Linked DNA regions of Callithrix jacchus. The protein of the gene in region 1 binds, or shares a complex with, the protein of each later gene. Links are inferred from orthologs where the notes say so. Each region holds a gene or a part of one and is shown in the gene's direction. Other genes may lie near its edges.

What was found. Proteins that work in one complex are often made in the same cells at the same time.
Region 2: GTF2A1 (region 1) and POLR2B share a complex: the UniProt entries of both Homo sapiens proteins name them as parts of the TBP-based Pol II pre-initiation complex. The link is inferred for Callithrix jacchus from reciprocal best matches to the Homo sapiens genes GTF2A1 and POLR2B.

Annotation. Positions count from the first base shown.
Region 1 is NC_133509.1:116,182,043-116,186,905, reverse strand, and holds the start of GTF2A1 (transcription initiation factor IIA subunit 1), read left to right. Parts: upstream 1-1,835; 5' UTR 1,836-2,276; coding exon 2,277-2,306; intron 2,307-3,238; exon of another isoform or gene 3,239-3,312; intron 3,313-4,082; exon of another isoform or gene 4,083-4,266; intron 4,267-4,863. UniProt on the Homo sapiens protein: TFIIA is a component of the transcription machinery of RNA polymerase II and plays an important role in transcriptional activation. TFIIA in a complex with TBP mediates transcriptional activity.
Region 2 is NC_133504.1:139,754,591-139,757,984, reverse strand, and holds the end of POLR2B (DNA-directed RNA polymerase II subunit RPB2), read left to right. Parts: intron 1-1,288; coding exon 1,289-1,484; intron 1,485-1,972; coding exon 1,973-2,062; 3' UTR 2,063-2,550; downstream 2,551-3,394. Other genes in the region: IGFBP7 (insulin-like growth factor-binding protein 7), read right to left, coding at 2,713-2,732. UniProt on the Homo sapiens protein: Catalytic core component of RNA polymerase II (Pol II), a DNA-dependent RNA polymerase which synthesizes mRNA precursors and many functional non-coding RNAs using the four ribonucleoside triphosphates as substrates.

The DNA of each region.
Region 1 (4,863 bases):
AGAAAGAACCTAACTCAGAGCCTCCAGGGAGTGTGATGGACTTAAGGAGGCCAGGATTGGGTTTTGTGCCACTTTAATCCAATAACTACATTCCACTATTTCACCGATTAATTCTGTGAAGAGCAAATCTCATAGCTTCTCTTCCATGTCCAGGGCAGTGGTTTCAACCTTAATTGATGGCAAAACTACTCAACCATTTATCAAGAATACGAAGTGGTAGGGGAGAAAACTAAGTGGAAGGTGAGGGATTCCATGTACAAAGCGTTTGGGAGTATGTATATAGGGAGGTAACAAGAAGTCCTCTCAATATGCAGTAAAATTTACCAGGAATGGTATTGTTTAGTGTAACTTTACAATTGGGCTATCACCTGAATATTAAATAAATCACAAATGTTGATTGAATCACAATTTTACATTGCTAAGAACACTGATTTCCTGTGATTTTTTTTCTTTAAGTGTTCCAGACCATGCAGCTGTGCAGGTAACTGGAAGTAATTGTTAAGAGGGGAATGGATTTGGTGTGAAAATAAATCTCAAGGTTCATAGATATTCTCCACACCCATTGATAATCTCCCATTTTCTGCGTATTAAAGGCCCCTGCTTTCTCTAATCCCTTTCTTCAGGTGTTGGCAGGCTGCATTTTTTTTTTTTTTTTCTCTTTGGTAAGATGCCTTTGACATTCTTCAAATCTGGTTTCACCAGCAAAGAACTTTTCGTTTTGCTCTGTCTTTGGAAGACAAACTCCTTCACTCATCCAGATGACATTTCAGGTCCCTCAAAATTCCAGGGGCTCCGTTCTGCTTGTAATGTTGATATAAAGGCAGGATTTGTTTGGACAGAGGAGGTCAAAAGCTTATTGGATTGCACTTCAAGACACGGGCACAGCCGCCGTGCTCTCTTATAACTAGAGGCCAAGCGATTTGGGTCAAGGGCATGTGTTTCAATGTGATCAGTCACTACACGTTGGCCATGCGGAGTAGTGGGATTTTGGCAGTATTTTTTAAAACCAGGGAAAGTTATTGTGCTGTTATAATCCAAAGGCTGGTGGGGTTGTCTCCCCTACTCCCCGCACCGCATTTCCACCACCGTGACAAATTATTTAAAGTACGTGGGCTAGTAGGGAACTAATCTCTGGGTAACCTAAGTAAGCCTGGTCTTCGTAGCGGACCCAGTGTGGAAACAAACCAAGTCAGAGGTTAGTAACTCTGGAATGTGAAAGTGGGCCCCAATCGGCTTTTACTCCCATTGGGAAATTCTACATAATTCTGCCCGCGAAAGACCCACCCTCGGCGAGGAGCGAACGCTCCGAGGCTCACAGTCAAAGCCTCGCTGACAAATCAAGAGATGACTCCGCATTTAAAACCGTCCCGAATCGGAACCCGCCAGAGGCCGGAAGCCGCACCACGTGACCAGTTCTCCGCGGCCATTCCTAGCGAGGCAGTCGCTACCGCTTGTCTCATTTCCTAGCTCCTCCAGCGCGGGACCGGGCGGAAACGTGCGACAGGAGGCGGTCCCACCTAGCTTTGGACTGGAATGTCACTAGAACTCGCGCCTTTTCCAGAAACGCTTTGCAAGTACTTCACCGCAAAGAACTGCGGCAGACTTCCGCCTGGGTGCCAACCACGTGATCACGCGAGAGTTGGAGAGGCGTAGGTCCGACTTCACTACTTCACTACCCAAGCTCCGCCAGTCGAGCACCCCCACCGCGCGTGACGACGCGGCTCGCGGCGGCCTCCGCCCCGACGCGCCTGCGCACGCGGCTCTCGCGGTGTCTCGCGCTCAGCCCCGCCCACCTCTGCCCCCGCCCTTTCCACCCCTCCCTCCCCCATCACCCTGTCTCTCAGCGGCGGCGGCGGCGGCGGCGGTTCGCGCAGCTTGTTGGCTCGCTATATAAAGGAGAGAAGCGAGCGGACCGGACGGCTGGAGCTGCAGCCGGTGGCAGCAGCGGCGGCGCAGGGAGCGGTGACCGGTGGTGGTTTCCCTCCTTGGCGCGGGGTGGGGAGCGGGCAACGCCCCCGGACCCCTTAAGGGTCGTGGATTTTTTTTTAAAAAGACGATTCTCGAGGTTTTTAGCTGCGGGAGGAGTGCCCCCCTCCTCCTCCTCCTCCTCCTCTCCGCTCTCCCCTACTCCTTCAGGATTGATTTTGTTTAAGTTTTTTTCCCCAATCTTGCGGTGACTTGGGTCACCCTCGGGTGTTTTAGTATTTTTTTTTTTTGGTTTTGTTTTTATCTTGTTTTCTTGGGGTTGCCCCCTCTTGTTTGTGTTGTGTGTGGAAATGGCGAACTCGGCAAATACAAACACCGTGGTAAGGACGTGGTTCGGTGGCCGGCGGGGGCTTCGTTCAGGCGGCAGCAACGGCCGGACCGGGCGGGGGCGGGGACGGCGGCGACTCCCGGCCTCGACTCTTCAGCCGCCCGCGCGGCCGCCGCCGCTGCCGCCGCCGCTTCCCGCCTCGGGCGGATCGGGCCGGGGCGGCGGGCGGCGGGCGCGGGGGGGCGCCGAGGGCTCGCGGCTCGGGGAGGGCGGGGGCGCCGGCGGGGCCTGGGGCCGCCGCGGGCCGGGTCGGGCCGCGGAGGCGGTTGGGCCCGGGCGGGCGCGCAGCCCCGGCCCCAGAACCCGGCCCCCGGGAGGGAGGGCGTGAGGGGAGCCGCCGCTTCCCCCCGAGGGGCCCGTCCGCGCTGGCTAGACGATGGCTCCCCGAGCGGCTTAAGAACAAAAACCGTGTCTGGGGAATCGGGCGAACCCCTGAGACCCACCGTGATCCACTTTAATGCAGTGGAGGATTAATGGCTACTTTTGGGGGTTACTTAGGTTTTTTCCTGGCAGTTGTGCTTTGGGAACCTTCACTGGGGCCATTTTATGTTTAAAAAAAGGACTAAGGTTGTTTGAAAAGCACTTATCTCAGTTCCTTCCGAATGGGTAAAATGGCGAAGGGGAAGCAACCCCCCCCCCATCGTATCTTCGACTAGCAAAAGCACCAAAACAAACAAAAAAAGCCTACAGTGGTCCAAGTGTCCCTGCTTTCGCCTTGAAATTTGCCTACTTCTTCCCGTTGGTCCCTTTTTGGTTATTTGCGATCACGTAGGTTTGCAAAAAGCAGTCACATAAATAACCTTTTCAGTCACCAACGCAATGTGATCACTAGTCCCCCCAACTCTTATTTTTATATGACAATAAAACACGTTTTTGCCCGGTCCCAAATGCCGCAGACTAGCCCGCGGCCGCCCGACACCGTACCGTTGGCGACTCGGGTCGATCCATCATGGCTGCGGCCGCTTACCCTGCTTTTCAGTCCCTGAGCTTTGTGGTCCTCCTCCCTTTGGCTGCCCTGTTTATATAGAGCCATTGCCGCTCTCTAATATAGACTCTGCCAGGATGGGTAGGTGCTTTTCAGGCCTACGTCACCGCCTCTCCATTTAAACACCAGATCCGGCTTTAAATAGTGAGAGCTGCTGAGAGCGGGGCTGGGAGGTGCGTGCTCCCGAGGCGAGAGCCAGGCGCGTGCGGAGCTCAGTTTATTTGTAGGTCCTTTTTTCACGCTGTAATTTCGCGCCTGTCGGGGGCTGCTTTCAGAGCCCCAAGTTTTTGTTTTGTTCCTAGCAGCAGCTAGGAATTACCTTCTTTTGTTTGTTAGGGGAAATATATCCGAATCGCTGTCCGTTTTTATTTACAATTTTCAAAATATGAAAACAAAGAATTTTTGATCAGATAGTCTAGTGATTTTCCTGTGTGCATTATTTTCAGGAATTAAAAAAACTGCTTTCTACAAAGTGTTAGCTGCAGAGGACTTGGTTTTTGTTGTATTTTGTTCAAATATTCAGGAAACAGGTTAGAAATACAGCTCCTAATATTTCATTATGTTTTTCTATAGTAAATCTAAAAGACACGAGGCCTTTCAGAGAAATAGATAAGTGCCTGAAGCTTCAGAATAGGACCATTTATGTGTAGGGGAATCGTGAGTAATTAGAGGGAAGAGACTTAGTGCAAACTGGATTTTAAAAAACTGTTAAGTAGAACTTTATCGCCTTGGATATTATTAACACAGTATCCAGTATAAAAATTATTTCAATTTATTTTTCAGCATTGCATCAGGGAATTAACATTTTTGAAGGAAACCTCCTAAGAAATCACTTAATAATGCCACTAGTGGCCCTCTGATAAACCAGTTTTCAAGTTTGAAATACCTGTCTTTTTAAAAATCAGGACAAACCTAAACTATTTCGTGAGAAACGGAAACTTTGACTCAATAGAGTGAAGAATTTTAGGTACTAGTTTATAAATTGCTTATTTCAAATAATGCCTATGTGCCCACATAGTTTTCAAAAATTCGTGTCTTGAGTGCTTTTCAAATTGTGAACAATTCTAAATTATTCATTGGGCATATACTTTGTGAAGCATACACGTTTCCCTTCTTTAAACTATAGTGCTTATGAAGCTGTTAAGTGATCAAGTTGTGAGTTCATTAAGGCACAAAAATAAAATCTTAAAGAATGATTCATTAAGTAGAGGAGTACCAGAAGAAAGCAAATTTATACCTATATATCTCTGGATCTCCAAGCAAAAGGTTTTTAGAGGTAACTGATTTGAGGAACACCACACCATCTAGTTTACTGAAAAGCATTATGTATTGTCAATTTGAGATTTATGCTCCCAATTTAAAATACATTGCCCTTCTAATGCCTTGAGGAGTCATTATTGATTAAAAAACAAAACACTATAGAGATACTTTTGTAATTCAGCAGTTAAATTAATTTAGTTAAGATGATGTCCATAGTCACATATACTTTCCTTATATGTAGAAACAGAATGAATGTTAAAGCAGGGACGATAGAAATGTTCATTTTGCAGATGAGTAATTTAAG
Region 2 (3,394 bases), on another chromosome or scaffold:
TACAAATAAGATCCATGCTTTGTGATTGATTGATACATCTCTTAAGCCTTTTTTTGAATTCGTTGGTTGCCCTCCAACCTTTTTTCCCCTTGTAATTTATTTATTGAAGACACTGGACTGTATCTGGGTCTTCAGACTGAATTGTGCTGATTGTATCCCAAGTGCTCTGCATTGCTGTTTTTATTTTTTTTTGTAAATAGTTAGATCTTGAAGCTTGAGATTTAGGGTTTGAGTTTTTTAGCAGTAATACTTCCTAGGTGGTATTCTATATTTCCAGTATCTCCTTGCCTTTCTTTTTATGATTTTAGCAGCTATTAATGATCACTTCTTTGAAGACCTTAATTAAATAGGGATTACAAACTGATGCGATTCTATTTTTTCTCATTCCTTTTTCAGTTTTTAGTCAGGCTACTTCTAAAACTTTGTTTCCTCAACTGTTTGGTTACCTAATGACATAGTTCCTATAGTAAGGGCAGGAATAAATGCTTGATTCTCTTTATTTACCGGTTTTCAAAACAATGAGTTCATTGTCTAATGATCCAAATCATTGGTCCACAGTTAACCCATGATTTGTTTTGGTGGAATATCATTATAAACCCATTGGTATTACTTTATATATTTAGGATATTAAGTATGTTAAGGAAGCCATCACCATCTATTTGCCTGGCAAATAATGCATTTTACTTCTTATGTTGGGGAAACCTATTATTTACCTGTTCTTTCTGTTACTTCCGCCAACATGTATTTATGATTTCAAGGCTGATTGCCTGGGAAACTCGTTCCACTGACAAACTGCTTTATTTAGATTGTCTTTTTTATTATTCATTTTTTGGTATAGAGTTGAATTCTAGAAAGTTAAATGATAGCATGATGAACCTCCACTCTGTGCTTTATGCTTCATTGTATCTGGTGAGGAAAATTAAATGCTATACTTAAGAATCTACTGTGCTACTGCATTTGGGGAACCTTCTTTATGTTTTTTAAAAAAAAGAGATGGGGTCTCACCCTGTTGCCCAGGCTGATCTTGAACTCCTGGGCTCAAGAGATCCACCCAGCTCCGCTTTCCAAAGTGCTGGGATTACAGGCGTGAGCCACTTCGCTTAGCCCATTTGACTTTCTAATGCACATCAAATAGTTGGTAGATTTCTCCTCTACCAGGGTATAGGGTATAAAAATTAGACCCTAGTTCTCCTTCTTTGCAAATATTATTCTTCACCTTTGCCATTATTCAAGGCAGTGTTTGTAATAAAAAATAAGTATAAAGTAATAATTTTTTTCCTCTTAACAGTGATGGTGGTCTGCGTTTTGGAGAAATGGAACGAGATTGCCAGATTGCCCATGGAGCAGCCCAGTTTTTAAGGGAAAGATTGTTTGAGGCATCAGATCCATATCAGGTTCATGTTTGCAACCTTTGTGGAATAATGGCGATTGCCAACACCAGGACCCATACATATGAATGCAGGGGCTGCCGCAATAAAACCCAGGTGGGTATAGACTTCACTGGCAGTTGATATTTGTTTAGAGGAAACTCTGTTGGTCTGATTATCCAGGCAGATTTAGTGTGGTAGAACAGATCAGCATTTTCACAATTTTGATAGCATGCCTCTGTAAGATTTCTAGTTCTAAATAAGAAAAAAATAATTTGATGTTTCTAAAAACCAGTTTAGGTTTTAGTGTGGTAATTTCTTTAAGCTGTTCATCTTTTGGAAATAAAACTTTGTACAAGGGATTTTAAACAATGAGTTTTTAAAAACCTTTTAGTTGAGGTGGGTGAATATAAATTATGTCTGGCAGGAAGGGTAAAATACCAAGCGTACTAGGAGAAAGAACCATCGTAAGCCGAGGTAGCAGAATGCGTGTTCTCAGCTCCACTCATTTATTATCTGCAGTACCAGACCTTTGCTTTCTCGGGTAGAGAAGTGGGGTGACTTCAACATAGTTCTGCTAATTGCTATTTGTTTTTTCTTTTCAGATTTCTTTGGTGCGAATGCCTTATGCATGCAAACTATTGTTTCAGGAACTTATGTCTATGAGTATTGCACCACGAATGATGAGTGTTTAGCTATTTTACAAGACACGACAAGATACTTAAAAATATCTTGGTGTTAGGGCCGGGCGCGGTGGCTCAAGCCTGTAATCCCAGCACTTTGGGAGGCCGAGGCGGGTGGATCACAAGGTCAAGAGATCGAGACTATCCTGGTCAACATGGTGAAACCCCGTCTATACTAAAAAATATACAAAAAATTAGCTGGGCATGGTGGTGCATGCCTGTAATCCCAGCTACTCAGGAGGCTGAGGCAGGAGAATTGCCCGAACCCAGGAGGCGGAGGTTGCTGTGAGCCGAGATCGCGCCATTGCACTCCAGGCTGGGTAACAAGCGCGAAACTCCGTCTCAAAAAAAAAAAAAAAAAAAAAAATCTTGGTGTCTTGTTTCTATTGTGTGGCTTTTAAAAAATGACAAATATGTACTGTGTTGTGATAAAAAGTTTTATTTGTTTAATGATACGCATGCTTTTCTTTTGTAAATATATAATAAATTTTTGTAGATAAGTCTTGATGTGTGATCTTTATTTTGTATCTCTCTATGTAAAACCAGTGAATATATAACTAAAGTGTTAGTGGATTGGCGTAAAAGAAACTTATTAGGCAAGAACAGGTGTTGTAATTACCCATGACTACTTTTAACCATGCAGACTAATGTATTCTGGAGGTTTATAGCTCGGCACCTTCACCTGTTTAAAAAAAGAAAAAGATAAAAATTAGTTACATCTAGGGATGTGGCTGACTTTCGAAATGTCAGGTAGTTAAGTGTTTCCAAATAAATGAAGACGTTAAAATGTGGGGAAAAGAAGATATGAGTATAAACGACATGCCGGAGTGCTCTGTGGAACTTGAGTTACATGACTTGAGCTATGAAAGGCAATTTTGCTTTACTGGGTGATGCATCAAAGGTACATCTTACTACAGAACTGGAAGAGCACATTTCACAAACGACCGAGTTGAGATTCAGAGAGGTTAAAGACTTTCCTTTGTAGTCCAGATCTCCTTCAAAATGTAAAGTGGAGGAATAATTAGTAGCAGAGCTAGACTCAAACGCATGGCTTGACCCTTAGCTACTGCTCTGTTTCATCGCCTGGCATTATACATTATGGCTGAAGAGAATCTGACCAAATACTTCTTTACTTAATATTTCTTTTCATATCACAGCAGAGTGATCTGCACAGTGGAATGGTTTGACACATGCTGACAGTTTTGTTCTGTCTAAGGGAAAGCCAATTCAGACATCAGTTTCATAGAACTATATAAATGTAAAGTAGCATTGCTATGACACTTAGGATGGTTTCTTCAGAGGAAGCTTTTTGGAAGTGAAGGAAGGGGAGGAGGAACAGAATTG